Drosophila melanogaster: one gene and its partners. The protein of the gene in region 1 binds, or shares a complex with, the protein of each later gene. Each region holds a gene or a part of one and is shown in the gene's direction. Other genes may lie near its edges.

Region 1 (6,375 bases):
TCAACTTTAAATGCGTCGCGTGTCCCCTGTTGTTGTTTCTTTTTAGTTAGGCGGCTCTATTTAATTTCTATTTTTACATTTATTTACATAAATCCTAAATTCTAATCGTATTTGATTTTAAGCCTAATTTAAAGCTCGTTTATTTTTCCAATAAATTCTCTGTAAAACTTAAACCAAACCAATCCAAAAACAAAACAAAACCAGAGTAAACGAAGAGAATAAAATAATAGAGAGGAAAGTAAAAGAAGGTAAAAGAGAGCGCGCAGTCAGCGGGCGTTTGATTTGTAATTTGTAACATAATAATGTTTGCATCAACTGCATTGACGGCCTTATCTAAACGATATAAACATAATTATTAATATTTAATTATTTAGCTTAGTTTGTTAAACGAAAACGAACCATAATTCCTAGATTTTAAGTAAAAAGCAAGGGCGCGTGAAGAGAAATCGAAACCGAATTACAGATAAAGGTTTTTAAAACCAACTAGATCGAAACAAGTTCAGCAACAGCAAAACAAAAGAACACATCAAAAAAAGAACCGAAAAATATCCATTTAAACATCCATTGAATTAGGTTTAGTTGTTTAAAAAAGATGTAATTTTTAATTACCCATAATGTATAAACGGAAATCAATCGTTAGGCAAGACCACAACAAACCCAACAAATTGTAAATACATTCTAGGCTACGGTTTTTCTAATAGATAACTAGGTAAAAACGCAAACGTAATTAACAAATTATCGATGGCAAGGAGCGATGCGAGCGCAGACAACTTGGCACACCGAAAAAATATGTTTTTATTAGTGGCGCTCGTTCATCCATTAAGAATGGCGATTCATTAGGCTCCATAGATCCATAAATCCCCTAATCCAATCTGAACTACACACAAAATAGACAAATTTTATACAATTAGCTCGATAAATCTTGTAAAATAGAGTCCCGTAAAAAAATTATAACAAATAAATTGACAACAATTGATGTAATTCAGTAAACCTAAGCAAAAAGTGAAACCATTCTAAGCAAATTCTTTGTGTGTAAAAATTAATATGATAAACAAAATGCAGATGCAACCGTAAACAGCGCATAGTTTGGTAGGCATATAACTGAATATATATATATTATTATTATTATGTTTTAACATTAAGCAAAAAAATAAAAGAAAAAATTGAGAAAACTTCAACTGAGCACGGAGAATTATTAGCTGGGAATATGCAGAATTTATTTTAGTGCGCAGTGTTTGCTTATGCATATTATTATTTTATGTCGTATGGAATATGTAACGGTATCTCAGTTAATTAGCTAGTTAAATCATTACAATTTATGTAGTTGAATTAATTAATTTTATTAATATTTTTATATTCATTTATTATGTTAATTAATCCTACTGAAACTTTGTGTAGCTCCCATAGAATGAAAATCTAACACAAAATAAATAGAACCAAATTCACGTTTGGATTCAACCAGAAACACATAACGAATTGGCAATTTTCTTAATGTCGTATTACAACTTGCTTTCTTTTTTAAATTTTAAAATTGAAATCGTGAATCTAAAGTCGGAAACCATTAGATCTTCCATCATTATTGCACTTTAATGCATCGAATAGAGTTATTAAGCCAATATTATAATTTTATTATTCAATACAATAGTAGTTTCATATCTCATTTTAATAAATTTAATAATTGTTATTAAATTATGTACCTCATAGGTTGTTATCATCAGTTTCTCACTTCAAATTTATGCGCCAACATTTCGAAGTTCATGGTAACTCTATAACAACAAAATAGTGTGACCGGACTTATGTAAGATTACTGCAGATAATACACTAGTGCAAAAAAGAATTGATATGACTAAATGAATAGACAATATAAACAAACAATAACATAATTCGTGGACTGATAAAAAGTATGTACAGCTTTAATTAATAATGTGATTATACAAATTAAGCTTTCTCCAGAGAGGCATTTGTTAGAATCACAGAAATCAAGGAAATGCATAATGAGTTTTCTGGATGACAATAATGCCTGTGGGCAGAATCTGCTGAATATAGTGTCGGTGGGTAATTCTATAATAGCAGAGATCCTGCGCCTCAAGGACTACGTGCCCAGTATTTATAGGTAACATAGATTAAAAACCTGCAATTAATGAATAATTGGTGACCACTCCTCCCCAGATTGGACAACAAAGCTGATAAGGCGAAATATGGCGAGCTTATTCTGGATTTCAGCTACTTCAAGATAGCCGAAGATCACGAGAGGAGGATCGAACAAAGTCCGGTAATTTGATGTTAATATACCCGAGACCACACCGTATTAAACACCCTGATTTCCTTCAGGAACTGACCGAACTCGATGATGAGGCACGTGCCCAGCTTCCGCTAATCACACGATTTTACCTGGCCTTCCAGAGCATCCATCACTATGCCTCCGATCTCCAGCAATATATCGAGGAATTGAACACTGGCTACTATATCCAGCAGACGCTGGAGACGGTACTTCAGGAGGAGGAGGGCCGCCAACTGCTCTGCGAATCCCTGTATCTCTTTGGTGTGATTCTCCTCATGGTCGATTTTCACATTCCGGGGGATGTGAGAGAACGTCTGCTGATCGCCTACTATCGGTATAGTGGAGGAGATGCAACGCCTAGCGGAGACGAGAGTAATATCCATGATGTTTGTCTCCTGCTCCGATCTACGGGCTATGTTCATCCGTCGATTGCCGCTAAAGTGCTCGGTTTGGGTGGCAAACAGGCAGGCGCTAGAGCTGCTAGCCTTGTGGTTCCCCGATACCCGGAGGCCTACTTCTCTCGCTTCCGTTTCGATGAGAATTTCGTGGATCTAGTGGTGGCTCGTCTGCGGTGCGATGATATATACAACCAACTGAACCTGTATCCACATCCTGCCCATCGCTCCACGGCTCTGTCTACTCAGGCGGCCATGCTGTATGTGTGCTTGTATTTCTGCCCGCAAGTTCTTCATTCCCAAGGCTCACAGATGCGCGAAATTGTGGACAAGTTCTTTTGCGACAACTGGACCATATCCGTGTACATGGGCATGACAGTGAATCTGGTGGATGCCTGGTTGGATTTCAAAGCCGCTCGATCTGCTATTGAAAATGTGATAAGTCCACCGGCAATCAAAGCACTCTGTCAGCAGCAAAAGGAGCAATTGGGCAAGATCACTCAAAAAACCCAGGAGATTGTTCGTGAAGGAGTTCTAAATGACAACTTTGTTTTGGAGCACGCCAACAAAATCATACACCTGATGAGGCAATCCAATGTCCTGCTCCGCTGGTTTTGCCTGCACACCTCAAGGGAAGTTTTCATCTTTGCTCACACAGCTACTTTGACGGGTCAAGTGCAAAAATGTGTGCTCCACGAACTACAATTCAATCGGAATACGCTGTATAACTTACTGCTTAACTGCAGCCAAATGGAGCTGAGCGTGAGGGAGTTCCTGGCAGAGATTCAGCAGACTAAGGAGGAGCGCTGGACGAAAAGCAGAGAGGAGGCCATGCAAAGGCTCAATGAGTTGAGCGAAGCCTTTGCCGGCTCCAGGCCTTTGTCCAAGATTGAACAGAATCCTCAGTTGCAGCAATGGTTTGGCGAAGTTGCTGGACGTCTCCAGAAACTGGAATTGAGCAGGCCCCAAAAGTCCGGAAGGCTGATTATTCAGGTGATGCAAGCACTGGACGATGTGCAGGAGTATCACAACCTTCATTCCAACATGCTGGTGAAGCAGCAACTACAGGAGACGCGAGACATGCTCAATCAAATGGCACAGCTAATAAACCTGAAGGAAGACATTGAGATTCACATCCAGATGATCACTGACTTCAGCTATGCTTGGCATCTACTGCAGTTTGACTTCACTCCTCCCATGCAGGAACACATCAAAAGACAGCCACAGGCGGTAATAGGTATACGAGCGGTCTTTCTCAAGTTGGCCAGCACCCTGGAGGTGCCGCTGATGCGGATCAATCAGGCCAGAAGCGAGGATCTGGTCTCTGTGTCAAACTATTACAGCACCGAGCTAGCAAACTTCCTGCGCCGCGTTCTGCAAATTGTTCCAGAGACCATGTTCAGTATTCTGGCTAAGATCATCTATCTCCTTACGAATGTTATCAAGGAGTTTCCCACTAAAGTGGAGAAGGAGCGTCTAAAGGACTATGCCCAGTTTGAGGAGCGGGCCAAGGTGGCTCAGCTTACAAACTCCATTGCTGTTTTTACGAAGGGAATTCTTATGATGAAAACAACTCTAGTGGGAGTAATCGAGCTGGATCCTAAACAACTATTGGAGGATGGGATACGCAAGGAGCTTGTAAATCATCTGGCAAATGCCTACAATCTGGGCCTAATATTTACGCCCGAGAAAGGCAAGACTCCTGTGCAGCTTCTTCAACAAAAACTGCAAGCTCTGGCGAAAACAATAGAGGGATATCGAAGATCCTTCGAATATATAGAGGACTACTTAAGAGTTCAGGGACTTCGAATCCTGCTGGAGGAATCGCAACGCATTATTAACTACAATGTGGAGAAGGAATGCAATGCCTTCCTCCGCAACAAAGTGCAGGAATTTCAATCGGAGCACCAGAGCCAGATCATACCCATTCCCAACTTTCCACCGCTGTTGGGAGATCCGTCTAACAACTTCATTGGCCGTCTGGCCCACGAAATTCTGCGGTGCACAGATCCCAAGCAAACTATTTTTCTGGATCTAAAAAGCACTTGGTATGAGAAGAAGGCTCCTCACCAGGAAGTTCTTGCCGGCTCTGGATTCTTTGAGATACTTAGAGAAGCCTTGGCTCCGGCAGGAATGGTGGGATTGGAGCGCCTCTACGCTCACATGTTGGCTGATGAGTTAAAGCGCAACTTGGAACGGTTACAGCGTAACCTGACCTCGGATCGTATGTGGGTGGATACGTTAGCGGCACTGACTCGGGAATTGGAGGCCCGGGACTTCCCAACTCCGGAGGTGTCCAAGCAGCCTTTGAAGTATTATCAAGCTTACACCCAACGATGGCTGAAAGTGTGGCCCACGCTGTTGGATTGGGTTTTGTGCATTGGACAGAAGCAGCTGCTCCGCAGAGAAATTGCAGGAGAGCTAAGCTTTAGCAGTAAATGTGATGCCAAGTTGCTGGAGAACACGGCGGACACCCTGAACAAGTAAGTCAAACTATAACATCCTAAAAATATTTATATATTTGCAATCTCTTCCGCAAACAGAGCCCTTTTACTAGAACTGTCTCTCAGCAAGGATCTCTGTGATGAAAAGGGTGTGGTCATGTTGACAGAACTGCAGGAAACCCTGCTCTATACGGGAAACTTTGAGCCCCTAGAGCAAGTCTTCCTTATCACAAAGAACACCCATAACATGGCCCTCTTTATGTTTCTTTTCACCATTGCCCATTTGGGTCGTATGCAGCATTCCACGATTACCGATTGTCTGTTGCCAAAATCAGCCAAAGATAACATTGATAATGTGCCTTTTATTGTGGGTCTAGTAACGATCTTGCAGCAGTTCCACAAGAATGTCAAGATGCTGTATATATCCTACATGAGTCAGTACGTGGTGACTGTATCGGAGGCTCAGTTACTGTAAGTACTTTAGTTACAAGATAATCCACGAATATCAGATGACATACACTTTTCTTTATTAGGGATAAAGAAATCCTGGGTCCCGAGGTGGTCACCGCCCTGCACTTTCTTCTAGCCTTTATACGCATTGCTCGTTTGCCACTCGGAGTTCTGGAGCAGCGCATTCCCAACATAATACTTAGCGAGTACGAGTATTTATCCACACTGCTAAAATGAAAACTAACCAACAGGTTTGGGCTACACAAACTTTAATAAATCCGAAACATAACAAGGAAATGCCTCGCTGAGGTACAAGAGGAGATTGTAGTTGGATGGGTTGGTAATCTCAGTGTTCCTTCGCTGACAGGAACTCTTTACGTGATAACCGTTGGAGCGTTGCGTCCAGTGAACTTGGGCAGCTGAGAGATCTCCAGGGCGATGTCGATCAAGGGTTTCAGCATCACGCTGGCCTGGCCCAAAACATTCTCCTTCTCATAGGAATCAATGTACAAGCTGAAAAGGAACAATTCATCTATTATTGAAAAGAATTGTTTGATATTAAATCTCATCGTGACTCACCGAACGGTTGCTCCCGAGCTTCCAGTTCCACTGAGGCGCACCACAATGCGGCTGCCATCCTCGAACACAATGCGCAGACCCTGTTTCGTGGCCACCGACTTGTCGACAGGATCTGTGTAGCTGAAGTTGTCGGCCTCCTTGACCTTGTAGGTTTTTCCGCCGCTGGAATAGCTCTTGCCGACGAACTCCGGAGCAGTTATGGTCTTCTCCATGGTGGCCACCATCT
Region 2 (6,205 bases), on another chromosome or scaffold:
CCAGATCCACTGCGAGATCGTCTAGATACAGAGCCGCTTCGCGAACGTCGAGAACCGCTCCGCGATGCATTTGAGCGTCTAGAACCGGACCTACTGCGAGATCGCTTAGATCCACTGCGAGAGCGACGTGATCCACTGCGCGATTGCTTAGACCCACTGCGGGAGCGGCGCGATCCACCACGGGATTGCTTAGACCCACTGCGGGATCGCCTAGAGCCACTGCGGGAGCGACGTGATCCACTGCGGGATCGCTTAGACCCACTGCGTGAGCGGTGCGATTGCTTAGATCCACTGCGGGAACGCCTAGAGCCGCTGCGGGATTGTCTAGAACCGCTGCGGGATCGTCTAGAGCCGCTGCGCGAACGTCTGGATCCAGCAGGCGATCCCGGTGCTGCGCCAGAATGACGGGAGCCACTGCGGGACGGAGCGGAGCCGCTCCGCGACCGCCGGGAACCGTTTAGCGACTGCTTGGAGCCACTGCGCGAACGCCGGCCACTGGCTGCCGAGTGCACCGATCCGCTGCGGGACTTATGGGATCCGCTTCTGGAGCGGGATGCGCTCTTCCTGGTAGCACTGCGACTGCGACTACGCGAGCGATCGGCGATGGCCTCGGCATTATCATCACCATTCTTGGGTGCCGGCGAAGGAGACTTGCTCTTGCTCTTCTCTGGCAATACTGGCTCGAAATTGGTTGCGTCGGGATTGGTATCTTGAATTTCCTTTAGCTCCGCTTTTGCGGCCGTGTCTGTTGTGGTCTTCTCGAGTGGCTCGGATAAGGTCTCGGCTTCGTCGCCGCCGGCCTTTTCTGAAAATTAAGTGTATAAAATGGTTAAACAAGAATTTCCATTAAGAATCAATTTGGTAATCAACCTATTTCAGACGTTTCCATGCCGTACTAATTATTCCTATAAATTTTTAGTAGTACACAACCAAATTTGCCTAGTCAGTTGGTCAAACTGCTTTCAGGCTCAAATTAAATAATTCCTGCAATGACTTATAAAATACGACGCGATTTTATTGCTCGGCATTTGTAAGGCCAGTGGAACGAATGGAAACGGAACATCAACGCTTGTGTGTACACATACACTAATGCATACACGCTGTTTAGGGCCCTTATACACGACAAGCCTTTTGTTATCGATAACAAAACTTCTATGATAAGACATCCGAAATAACTTATTCTACAAAACATTTAAGTCCAAAACTTAAATATCAAAATTAAATTTGTTTATGGACAAAAGTCTTGTTTTAAAAATAGACTGCGACGTACAGGTATTCGTGTCAAGGAGTACGATTTTAATCCTTGGAAATCGATAACCAAACTTATAGAAATTGATTTAATTTGTTAAGTCAGAATGAAAACTAGGTATTGCATATATTCATAGTCATTACGATTATGTATTTTTACCGCTGTTTCTTGAATCAAAAATTTATATTGCTTCTTATATAAATAAAATGAATTTATTATCTGAGGATTATTTTTGCTTATAAATTGTATAAATAAATCATTTATCGGAATAGACATGCTACCAACTTTTCCATTCAATTAATCGCGATTTTCGATTTTACACAGTTTTTGGGTTTTAACTACGCTTGTTTAAACAAAAGATATCGAGAATTTAGCGTTATCGAATCGGAATCCACCCACTTGAAATGCCCCATCCCTAAATTTGCCATGAGAAAACCAAAACAATAATATTTTTAAAATTGGTAGACATGAAGGAAGAGCAAAGCTCTATGTGTATGAAAACGCCGATATCAGCTATGGAATACTATTCTTATCTATATATTTTCTATTTCAGCTATGTTTGCCGAGGATATCCTACGGGATTACGGCTCCTTCATATCGGAGCACGATGGGAAATTGAAATTATTGCGAGATAAAGTGCCTAATCGGGATGTTTCCGAGTCTGCACAGTGTGTATATATGTCGCCCGTGGTCGAGGTAAACTTTATGGGCAACGATTCCATGGCTCCGGACAGAAGCTTTGAGGAATCGGAGCTGGTGGCCAATAAACCGCTGACAACTCTGGCGAATCTGTGCAATCAGTGCAGAAATCTGTCCAGGAAGGCAAAACGGTTCCAGCTGGCATTCCTTTTCAGCGACTTTCGATTAGATGATACGCTCCCGCCACATACCCACACATCCGAGGGTTCCGCCGGCTTGGAGGGATCCTTGGTCCGCATGAGCAGCTCCATGGACTTCTTCTGCCAGGTTTACTTCTTGCTCAATCGCATGATTGTGATACTCCAAAACCTTTGGAGACAAATAGCCGCATCTGTTAGCGTCCCAATGGACATCAATGAAGTCCACATATTCGTAAGTCAACGATCGAACTCACATCTCAAGTGTAGTAACCAATTGAAGTCGAAACTTGCAGGCTGTCTTTGATGCAATGAGTGAGTTACTGGAACACATAGTGGTATTCAATGAACTGGCGAACCAATCGAAGATATCCACCATGTGGGCGCTGTACAAGAAGTGGCTGATGAACCTATCCAATAGCCAATCAGCGAACTTGGAGCTCAATGGCCTTAGTACATCGCTAATGGATATAGAGAATCTGATCACCAAGGATTTCTTTCGGGTAAGTCAAAGAAAAACGTGAATGGTAACCGCCCTTTCATGGATATTTCCAAACAGATTCTACTGGACAATTTGATGGAATTGAAGAAGCAATTTGGCCTGAATAGTGTTAGCCCCATCACCCAGCATTCCAATGCCTATATTCGTAGGCAGCTTCTCGACGTCGACGCGAATCCGAGTAACGAACTTAAAAACTATGAGGATCCCAAGCACATTATTCGACTTACCACCTTCGTGGTCGTCGTCCATGAGCTAGGCATCCAGATGGAGGGAAAACTGGTCAAGAATGTGATCGATTTGGTGGCCAGGCATAAGCAGGTGCCTCTCAACCGAAGCGTTTTCTGGTCGCCTTCCGGATTCCTCTCTCTACATGCCAAAACCCTGATGAAGTCTTCAGCCCGATCGCAAGATGGACAAGGCCCAAAAGTTCATAGCACAGTATTGGAGAAGTTTAGGCTTAGCGATCAGAGGACCTGTCGCCAATTGGGCGTCCAACTATCGCTGTGGTCCATCCAAATGCAAAGGGTATTCGATGTGGGAGTCTTTGGACACCTCAAGACTTTTCTGCAGTTGATTCTCAATGGACACTCCTATGCCGATCAAGTTAACCTGCTGGCAGTCGCGCTGATCAATCGGCACGTGGCTCTGATGACGCCCATGACCAGAAACGATTGGATCGTCGTCTCTCGGTTGCTGCAGTACCTGAAGGTCATTCAGAAGACCTTTGAGTCAAACCAAATCAATTTCGTGCGCTTTATCAGCTCACTGATACAATGGCAGAAGCAAAAGGTCATACACCTGCTGCACACAACGAAAAAGAAGATAGTTGTCCTCAAGTTGCTGCAGCGCAAGATCAACTTTTTGGCCACAATAAAGCTGGCCGAGAAGTCCATTATGGGATTTCCGAGCAAGCAACGTTTGACTTTCGTAAATCTAGCCCTCGGGGAGTTTCTAGATAATCGCCTCCTGCCCGCCGACAATCAAAAGTTGATCAAATCGATCCTACATCGTGTTAATAGTATCAGCGACATTATGCGGAATATTGGTGGACAACTTAACACGTCGGAGTCCTCGAGTCTGGTATATAATCACTGGTTTCTGGACACTTCGGTGCTTAAGGAGTACACCGAACTCCAACGCAATCCCTACTCCTTGCAGGTTGGTTTCTTACTCAGTTTCTGGCAAAGCAACTTCATGTTTATGCCATTTATCATCGGCAGAACCTCGTGTCGGTGAGCCATCATCTGGACAAGATCATGGCCATGTTCAGGGGTTCAAGGTGTCCCAAGCAATCAGCGAATGACTTGATCATTGAGTTTTTGAGCAACCACCTGGAGTTCTTTCTGCGCGTGGAGGCCCTTTCGCATCTCTTCCAGAGCCAGGATCAACCATTCCAGCAAAGTGCCTTAGACTATCGTCTCTGCATCAATGCAGTTGCAGTTGAAAACGATGGTGATTACAATATTATAAAAGGTAAGATATCGGTTACAAAACTGAGAGATCATGCCATTCATTAACATATTTTAGATCATCTTGAGAACTATTTCACTGCCACGTTCTACAACTTAACGACAATCGCTCCGCACGACTGGAAATCGTATGAAAAGATGCGTCATTTGGCCAACAAGGTGCTGCAGCTGCAACCCATCGATGACCACCTGCCCAATCAGATAATTGACCAGGTAACCAATTGAATCATCAATAAGCAATCTCTTCTATTAACCAAACAATTCTTTCCCACTTTCAAGGGCATAGACGTGCTGCAGATCATGCGGAATATACACACTTTCGCCTCCTCGTATGCCTACAACATGAACCTGCAGGTGTTCGTGGAGACGAACAGCAGGAGCAAGCACCTCGACATCATTGGCACCCGGCACGTGGCCAACTCGGTGCAGACGCACGGCACCGGTATCATCAACACCACCGTCAACTTTATATACCAGTTTTTGCGCCAAAAGTTTTACACCTTCTCCACCTTCCTCCACGACGAGCAGATCAAGTCGCGGCTGCTCAAGGAGCTGCGTTTTCACACGGAGCACAAGCACAGCAAGTCCTATCAGTCGTATCCCTATGAGCGCGCCGATAGTTTTCTTAAGAAGATCAGAAGGCTAGGCTGCTCCAGCAATGGCGAGACGTATATGGATCTTTTCAGGAAGGTTATCACACAAGTCGGTAGGTGGTTAAAGACCATAATTCAAGAAAATGCTTAAAATATAAACGTAAATATTGCTTTTAGGCAACGCTGTTGGCTATGTGCGCCTCCTGCAGGCTGGAAGCAAGAATGCCAACTTCCGGAATCGCTCGTATAAAACCAGATTCGACAGCAACTTCAGTTGCGGGGGCTCCAAAGTGCACGAGGCTACGGAGGGTTCCATCAGGGAGTACGAGAAGAGCCTGGGTCACATGAAGGAGTGCTATTCCGATAGCACAAATTACTTCAAGGTGCAGTCTACGATCTTAACAAGTTAGGTAACCAGCTTAACCCATGGATTTATATTGCAGCTTCTTCTGCAAGGCTTTCAGCCCTTTTTGTGCAATCCACATAACCACCACCTGCGAACCTTCTACCTCATCACACCGGCGCTCATCATGAACTACATTGACTACCGGGTCAAGCAGAAGCTAAAGATCTACAAAAAGGACCAGACCAAGATCTCGCTGTTCGAGGATGGCTTCGCCATCGGCCTGGTCTACATCCTCAACATGCTGAACCAGCAGACGGAGTTCCATGAGCTGGGCTGGAGCCAGACGATCACGCAGCACCTGAACGCGGAGCGCTCCAAGGTGCGCGACATTTTGGCGGGCCAGCAGCGGACGGCGCCGGAGCAGCTGGACGAGAAGCTTCACCAGACAGTGGCGATAACCGAACGACATGTGAACGCCTACGAGCATGAATACAATCTATTGTACGCCACCTTGAGTAGCTCCGAAATATTCTTCCAATAAAATATGTCCATTTACCAAAACCAAAGATCCCAGCAGTGACAACAAACAATTGAGTAGTTGGTTGCCGTTTATTCAGATTTATTAAGACGAAAATACAATTCCGATTCCGGTACATAGCGTAGAACGTTGGTATATATATATATATATGCAATTAGATAATCAGCATTACTAATACTATTATTAGTAGTAAGTAAGCCAACATCAAAAGATCAAACATTTTTCTAAGCCCCTCTCGACTCTTGTCGTCTCATTGTTTTTCTTCTTTGTTTTTTTTTTTGTGAATGGAAATGTTAAAGTTACAGATTTAATGCATATTATATAGCCAATTGAACGCTTTCTGACATTGGTGGGCACTAATTCTATTCACTTTTGGCCCCCACATACAATTGATTGGCCAAAGGAAACCCAACATGTCTATTGAAAATATGTTGGTTTGTTATGTATTTTTCTCGTAATATTACAGTACAGTAATTGGTAAAAAAAAATGTTTTGGAGAAAATGCAAATGGTTTTCGTCTTAACAGATTTTTCTTCTTGCAATGTTGCTGTTGCTTTTGCATCGCACCTTCTTAAAGAGAACCAGAGTTAGCCACAATGATCTTCTTGGAGGTCTTGCCAGACTGCGATCCATAAGATTCGATCTTCTTGACCACATCCAGTCCCTCGACGA
Region 3 (4,316 bases), on another chromosome or scaffold:
ACATAAATATATGCACGGATTGCTAAATTTGCTTGGGAAAATAAGTAAGTATACTATGTATATTTCATTAATGTATTAATAACTTAAAAAGGCGACGTGTGAGCTTTAACCGTAGCCCAAGTCGCAAATGGTGGTACTTACCAATTCCATATAGATAGATGGGCTTCGTGAACAGCAAGATATCCGAGCTCGAATAACTCGTCGTGGCAGTTCAAAATTCCAGGGCTGGATATCCCCTCGTCTTATGTGCTCTAATACACACTCGGCGTGTAGCAGGTTGTAAGAAATTCGCGTTTAAAATCAAATAACTTAGTGGGCGCTGCCATGTTTTAAAATTTATTCGATAACCGATCCCCGACTTAAAAGGAAAAGTGTGACCATCAATTTATAAAATTTAGCTTATATTTTGTAAAAAAATTGTTGCTTCTTTGTTTAGGAATTTTTAAGAAAAAGCAATTGTGTCGCAGAACAAAACGATGGCTAAAACAGTAATTTTAAAAAGGCATACAACACATATAAAATTATTTTTAAGGTTAAAGAAAGATTTTTATAACAGAATTAAAATCTTCTAATTTTAAAGCAATATTAGGCGAACCCAAATACATGCCATTGTACAATGTAGAATTTAATGTTAAATCATCTCTATGTTAAAATAACAAAATATAAACATTGTCAATTGGAAGAACGATTCAAAATAAGCAACTCGACCTAGATGAATGAAATAGTACAATACATGCCATTTTGTTGCTGAATGATAAGCTAAGATTTTGTTGAATTTTGGCTTAGTTGCATTCGGAAATATATTTACAACATTTTGAGCACACCCTCCAAGCACCCAATTTATAACCAGACTTTCTTATCTCAAACCCAAGCCAAAGATATTACATTGTATTGTGTGTATAAAATCCGAAGAAGGGGCATTTATTTCGCTAAAGATGCGCGTGGAATCGTGAACTACATGTAATCTCTTTCCGGTCCGGGGGCCACCTGCCGCTTTCTAGGATCCCACGATGATGTTGTTAATGGGAATGTGAATCAGCTTGACGAAGAAGCCGATGAAGCCCATGATGGCGAAGCCCACGGCGGTGGCGATGGCGATTTTCTGGAACTCCTTGCGGTCGGGTTTTGTGCAGCGCTTCACCAGGCGGATTGAGTCCTTGGCGAAGGCGCGTCCGGGTTCGGCGAATTTGACAACCTTGTCCATTTTTGATTTGTGAGTATTTAACTAAGAATTACCAATGAACTGAATTGATATTTATTTTGCTGCCGTGTCGCTTCTTGCAGTGTTACCAAGTTCCTCAGCTCAAAACATACTAAAAATTAACGCCTTTCCTTTAGTTGTTAATAAATTTTTTTTTTGGTTGAAATATAAGTGTATTTGAATTATTTTAATTTATTTTGAGTTTTTCTTTAAATTGAACCCATTCAATTATTACTTTGAAGCAAATCATTTAATGAACAGTTTTTAACAATTGATTTGGGCACACTACCCTACCCTAGCGTCGATGGAGGAACGGTGGATTTTTGAACATATGGACGTTTTCTATTTATTTATTTTTTCGTCATTTGGAAGTGAATTCCAAATTCCGTGCTCCGGAATGGCGTGCTTATAGGCTTACATTTGCCTAATTTAGTAATGATCCTGAATAAATGATCCCCTGATTAAAAAAGTTCTCCTAACAGTGGGATGAGTTTGAAAGGTATTTAAAAATGCCGCCTTCTCTAGTAGAAGTACTACAGCCGATCCGTGTCCTTAACTGCTTTATTAACAGTAATAGTTTTGGGAGACACCGCAGTTTATCTGAGGGTTAGTTTATCTGAAGGTTAGTTTGTTTCCTGGTGGTTTGTTTATCTGGTTAGCTTATCTGGGGTCTAGTTTACCTGAATGATAATTTACGTGGGAGTTAGTGTAACTGAGGGTTCAGTTGACTGGTGTTTCGTTTAGCTAGGGGTTAGTTAATCTGAGGTTTCGTAATTTTAAAAGAAATCCATTTAATTATTACTTTGAACCAAATCATTTTTAACATCTTGTAAAGCTTTTAGAGTTGGTCACACTACCATGAACAGCAGTAAAATTGCAAATAAATATGTAATTATTTGGCGATAGAAAAATGGAGGAGTCACCTTACCTGCACAGCCCCTACCAGGTGGCCATTATAGCCACCGACCTGCACCACGAGGATACCATAATCCAAGCAGCCCAGTCCCTGGACTGTCTACACAAAACCATAAACTCGATTTTCGAGCGAATCGATGCCCGCTTGGCGAGAAATGGTTCAAAGGTTGAGGACATAAACAATCGTGTGAAGCGCGCTCAGGCAAAAATCGATGCGCTCGTTGGCTCCAAGCGGGCCATCCAGATCTTTGCACCCGCCCGCTTTCCGGCCAGCGACGTCCTGGCACCGCTGCCAGCCACCTTTCCACAGGTGGCAGCCAATCCCCTAATGGAGCAGCAAGTGGACCAGCTCCCGCAAGGGACGTACAGCAGTCACAGTGCCGCGGACCAGAAGCCGGATGATGCGGACATCTTTTTCCATGTACGTGGCGATCGGGAGCAGGAATCGCCACTGGTCGCCGAACGGAAGATAACCAATCGGACCGCTGGCCTGGGCATCCTGCCTGCGGGTGGAGTGCGCTCCGTACCCTCGCTCATGCGATTCAATACCAATGAGTTCGCCTACGGCGAGGATCTGAATGCCTGGAAGCGATCCCTACCGCCGCAAAATGCTCGACGCGTTGCCAGTCAGTCCACTCAACTCACGGGAGAAAAGCAGCTCGCTCCGGCACCTCATTCGCTGGCCCACGGCACCACCAAACTGGCCACTCCAGCTGGGGACCTGCGCTACAATCCTGCTGCTTTGGCTGCACCCGCCATTGATGTTCCGCTGGACCTGCCCGACCTACCGGGCATAGCGAATGATCTGCAATATGAGCCAGTGGAGGAGCAAACACCAATAGCGCCTTCCCAGCAGTTCGGTGATTTACCAGAGCTGCCGGATTTGGGCCTCGAGGAGCAGGATATAATAGTGCAAGCCATCGCGGCACAGACGCACATTCCGGGACCGGTGCGTAGGAAGAGTGTGGGACAATGTCCTTCGCCAGTTACGGCGGCACCACCGCCTCCTCCTCCGCCACCACCGCCGCCTCCACCTCCTCCACCAGCGCAGACGAGCGCAATTCCATCACCGCCACCCTTTCCCACCAAAGGAGCTGTGAAACCGCTCTCCCCGTCGTTAGCAACACCTCTTAACATGCCGCAGCCGCCTCCAGCTACTGAAGATCCGCGATCTGAGCTTATGGCCGCCATAAGAAACGCCGGTGGAGTGCATGGCGGTCGTCTGCGGTCGCCTGCGGCTGCGCCGCTCGACGTGGTGGACAACAGTCGCTCCAAGGCGGGAGGCGCTGTCACGGGGGATTTGATGGCAGACCTGCATAACAAGCTAATGCTGCGACGCAAGGGAATTTCTGGGAGCCAGAATCCCGTGGAGGCCACTGCTGGCAATCCCCTGATGCAGCAGCTCTCCCGCGTCATACCGCCGCCGGTGCAGCCCCGCAAGGGATCTAAGTCGAGTGACGAACACTCCGAGGACGACGAGGATGGGTGGAACTAGTGAATATTTAGCTTTAGTACCGGTTTAAGTGCCTTGGCTGGCTTAAAGCACTAGCAACCTAGGTTCTCTAGCTTAAAGCATACAAATTTCTAAAACGAATTCCAAATTCTGTGCCCAAGCGAGCATGCCAAATTAGGTCAAAGTCAACCAGTTGAATAAAACTACATATTAGCAGAAATGTGTGTAATTTCTTATTGAGAACATTGGCTAACTTTAATTGATAAAATTACAGGACAATGAAACATTTTGTGATGCTAAATGAAATAAAACAATTCTTTATACTGACTAAAATAAACTCGATATTAAATTATAATAAAACACTAAATTCTAGTTTTAGATAACAGCTATTTTCCTATTTGAAATAAACGAATTTCCCTGTTAAATCCTTAACAGCGCTGTTGTGTTGCTCTCTGCCAGTGCTGTAAAATGCCGCAGTGGAATCACATTTCGGGTAAAAACAAATTGAAATATCCACCGAATTTAAATATTAAAGTTAGAGAAGCTGCCAAATATCTGGAGTTACAATCAGGGACAAGGACAAGGACTACTACACTAGAGGAGAGCTTTTACAAGCAATCCGGTGAAACCACATATAATGACAAGTCCGTCGCGGGATATAAACGATCTTTTTGACGATATTGTCCTGACCGAGGAGAAGGAGGCACGTTTGGGCTACGAGGAGGGACTGAAGGACGGCCAGGAGCA

The links. Proteins that work in one complex are often made in the same cells at the same time.
Region 2: Strump (region 1) and SWIP share a complex: the UniProt entries of both Drosophila melanogaster proteins name them as parts of the WASH complex.
Region 3: Strump (region 1) and wash share a complex: the UniProt entries of both Drosophila melanogaster proteins name them as parts of the WASH complex.

The regions. Positions count from the first base shown.
Region 1 is NT_037436.4:16,120,193-16,126,567, forward strand, and holds Strump (strumpellin), read left to right. Parts: upstream 1-1,809; 5' UTR 1,810-1,901; exon of another isoform or gene 1,902-1,953; 5' UTR 1,954-1,994; coding exon 1,995-2,113; intron 2,114-2,169; coding exon 2,170-2,272; intron 2,273-2,331; coding exon 2,332-5,159; intron 5,160-5,219; coding exon 5,220-5,591; intron 5,592-5,653; coding exon 5,654-5,807; 3' UTR 5,808-5,860; downstream 5,861-6,375. Other genes in the region: Pgm1 (phosphoglucose mutase 1), read right to left, coding at 5,945-6,083, 6,150-6,375. UniProt on the Drosophila melanogaster protein: Acts at least in part as component of the WASH complex which may regulate wash nucleation-promoting factor (NPF) activity and is required for its membrane targeting during endosomal sorting.
Region 2 is NC_004354.4:16,312,078-16,318,282, forward strand, and holds SWIP (strumpellin and WASH-interacting protein), read left to right. Parts: upstream 1-1,631; 5' UTR 1,632-1,741; intron 1,742-1,802; 5' UTR 1,803-1,804; coding exon 1,805-2,320; intron 2,321-2,381; coding exon 2,382-2,588; intron 2,589-2,644; coding exon 2,645-3,745; intron 3,746-3,807; coding exon 3,808-4,060; intron 4,061-4,114; coding exon 4,115-4,269; intron 4,270-4,335; coding exon 4,336-4,762; intron 4,763-4,826; coding exon 4,827-5,032; intron 5,033-5,092; coding exon 5,093-5,536; 3' UTR 5,537-5,673; downstream 5,674-6,205. Other genes in the region: CG9915 (uncharacterized protein), read right to left, coding at 1-805, 871-889; Cyp1 (cyclophilin 1), read right to left, coding at 6,105-6,205. UniProt on the Drosophila melanogaster protein: Acts at least in part as component of the WASH complex which may regulate wash nucleation-promoting factor (NPF) activity and is required for its membrane targeting during endosomal sorting.
Region 3 is NT_033778.4:12,178,590-12,182,905, forward strand, and holds wash (washout), read left to right. Parts: upstream 1-1,903; 5' UTR 1,904-1,951; intron 1,952-2,033; exon of another isoform or gene 2,034-2,036; 5' UTR 2,037-2,111; coding exon 2,112-3,611; 3' UTR 3,612-3,784; downstream 3,785-4,316. Other genes in the region: CG8860 (uncharacterized protein), read right to left, coding at 998-1,204; CG13175 (uncharacterized protein), read left to right, coding at 4,207-4,316. UniProt on the Drosophila melanogaster protein: Acts as a nucleation-promoting factor by activating the Arp2/3 complex to induce actin polymerization. Participates in both linear- and branched-actin networks.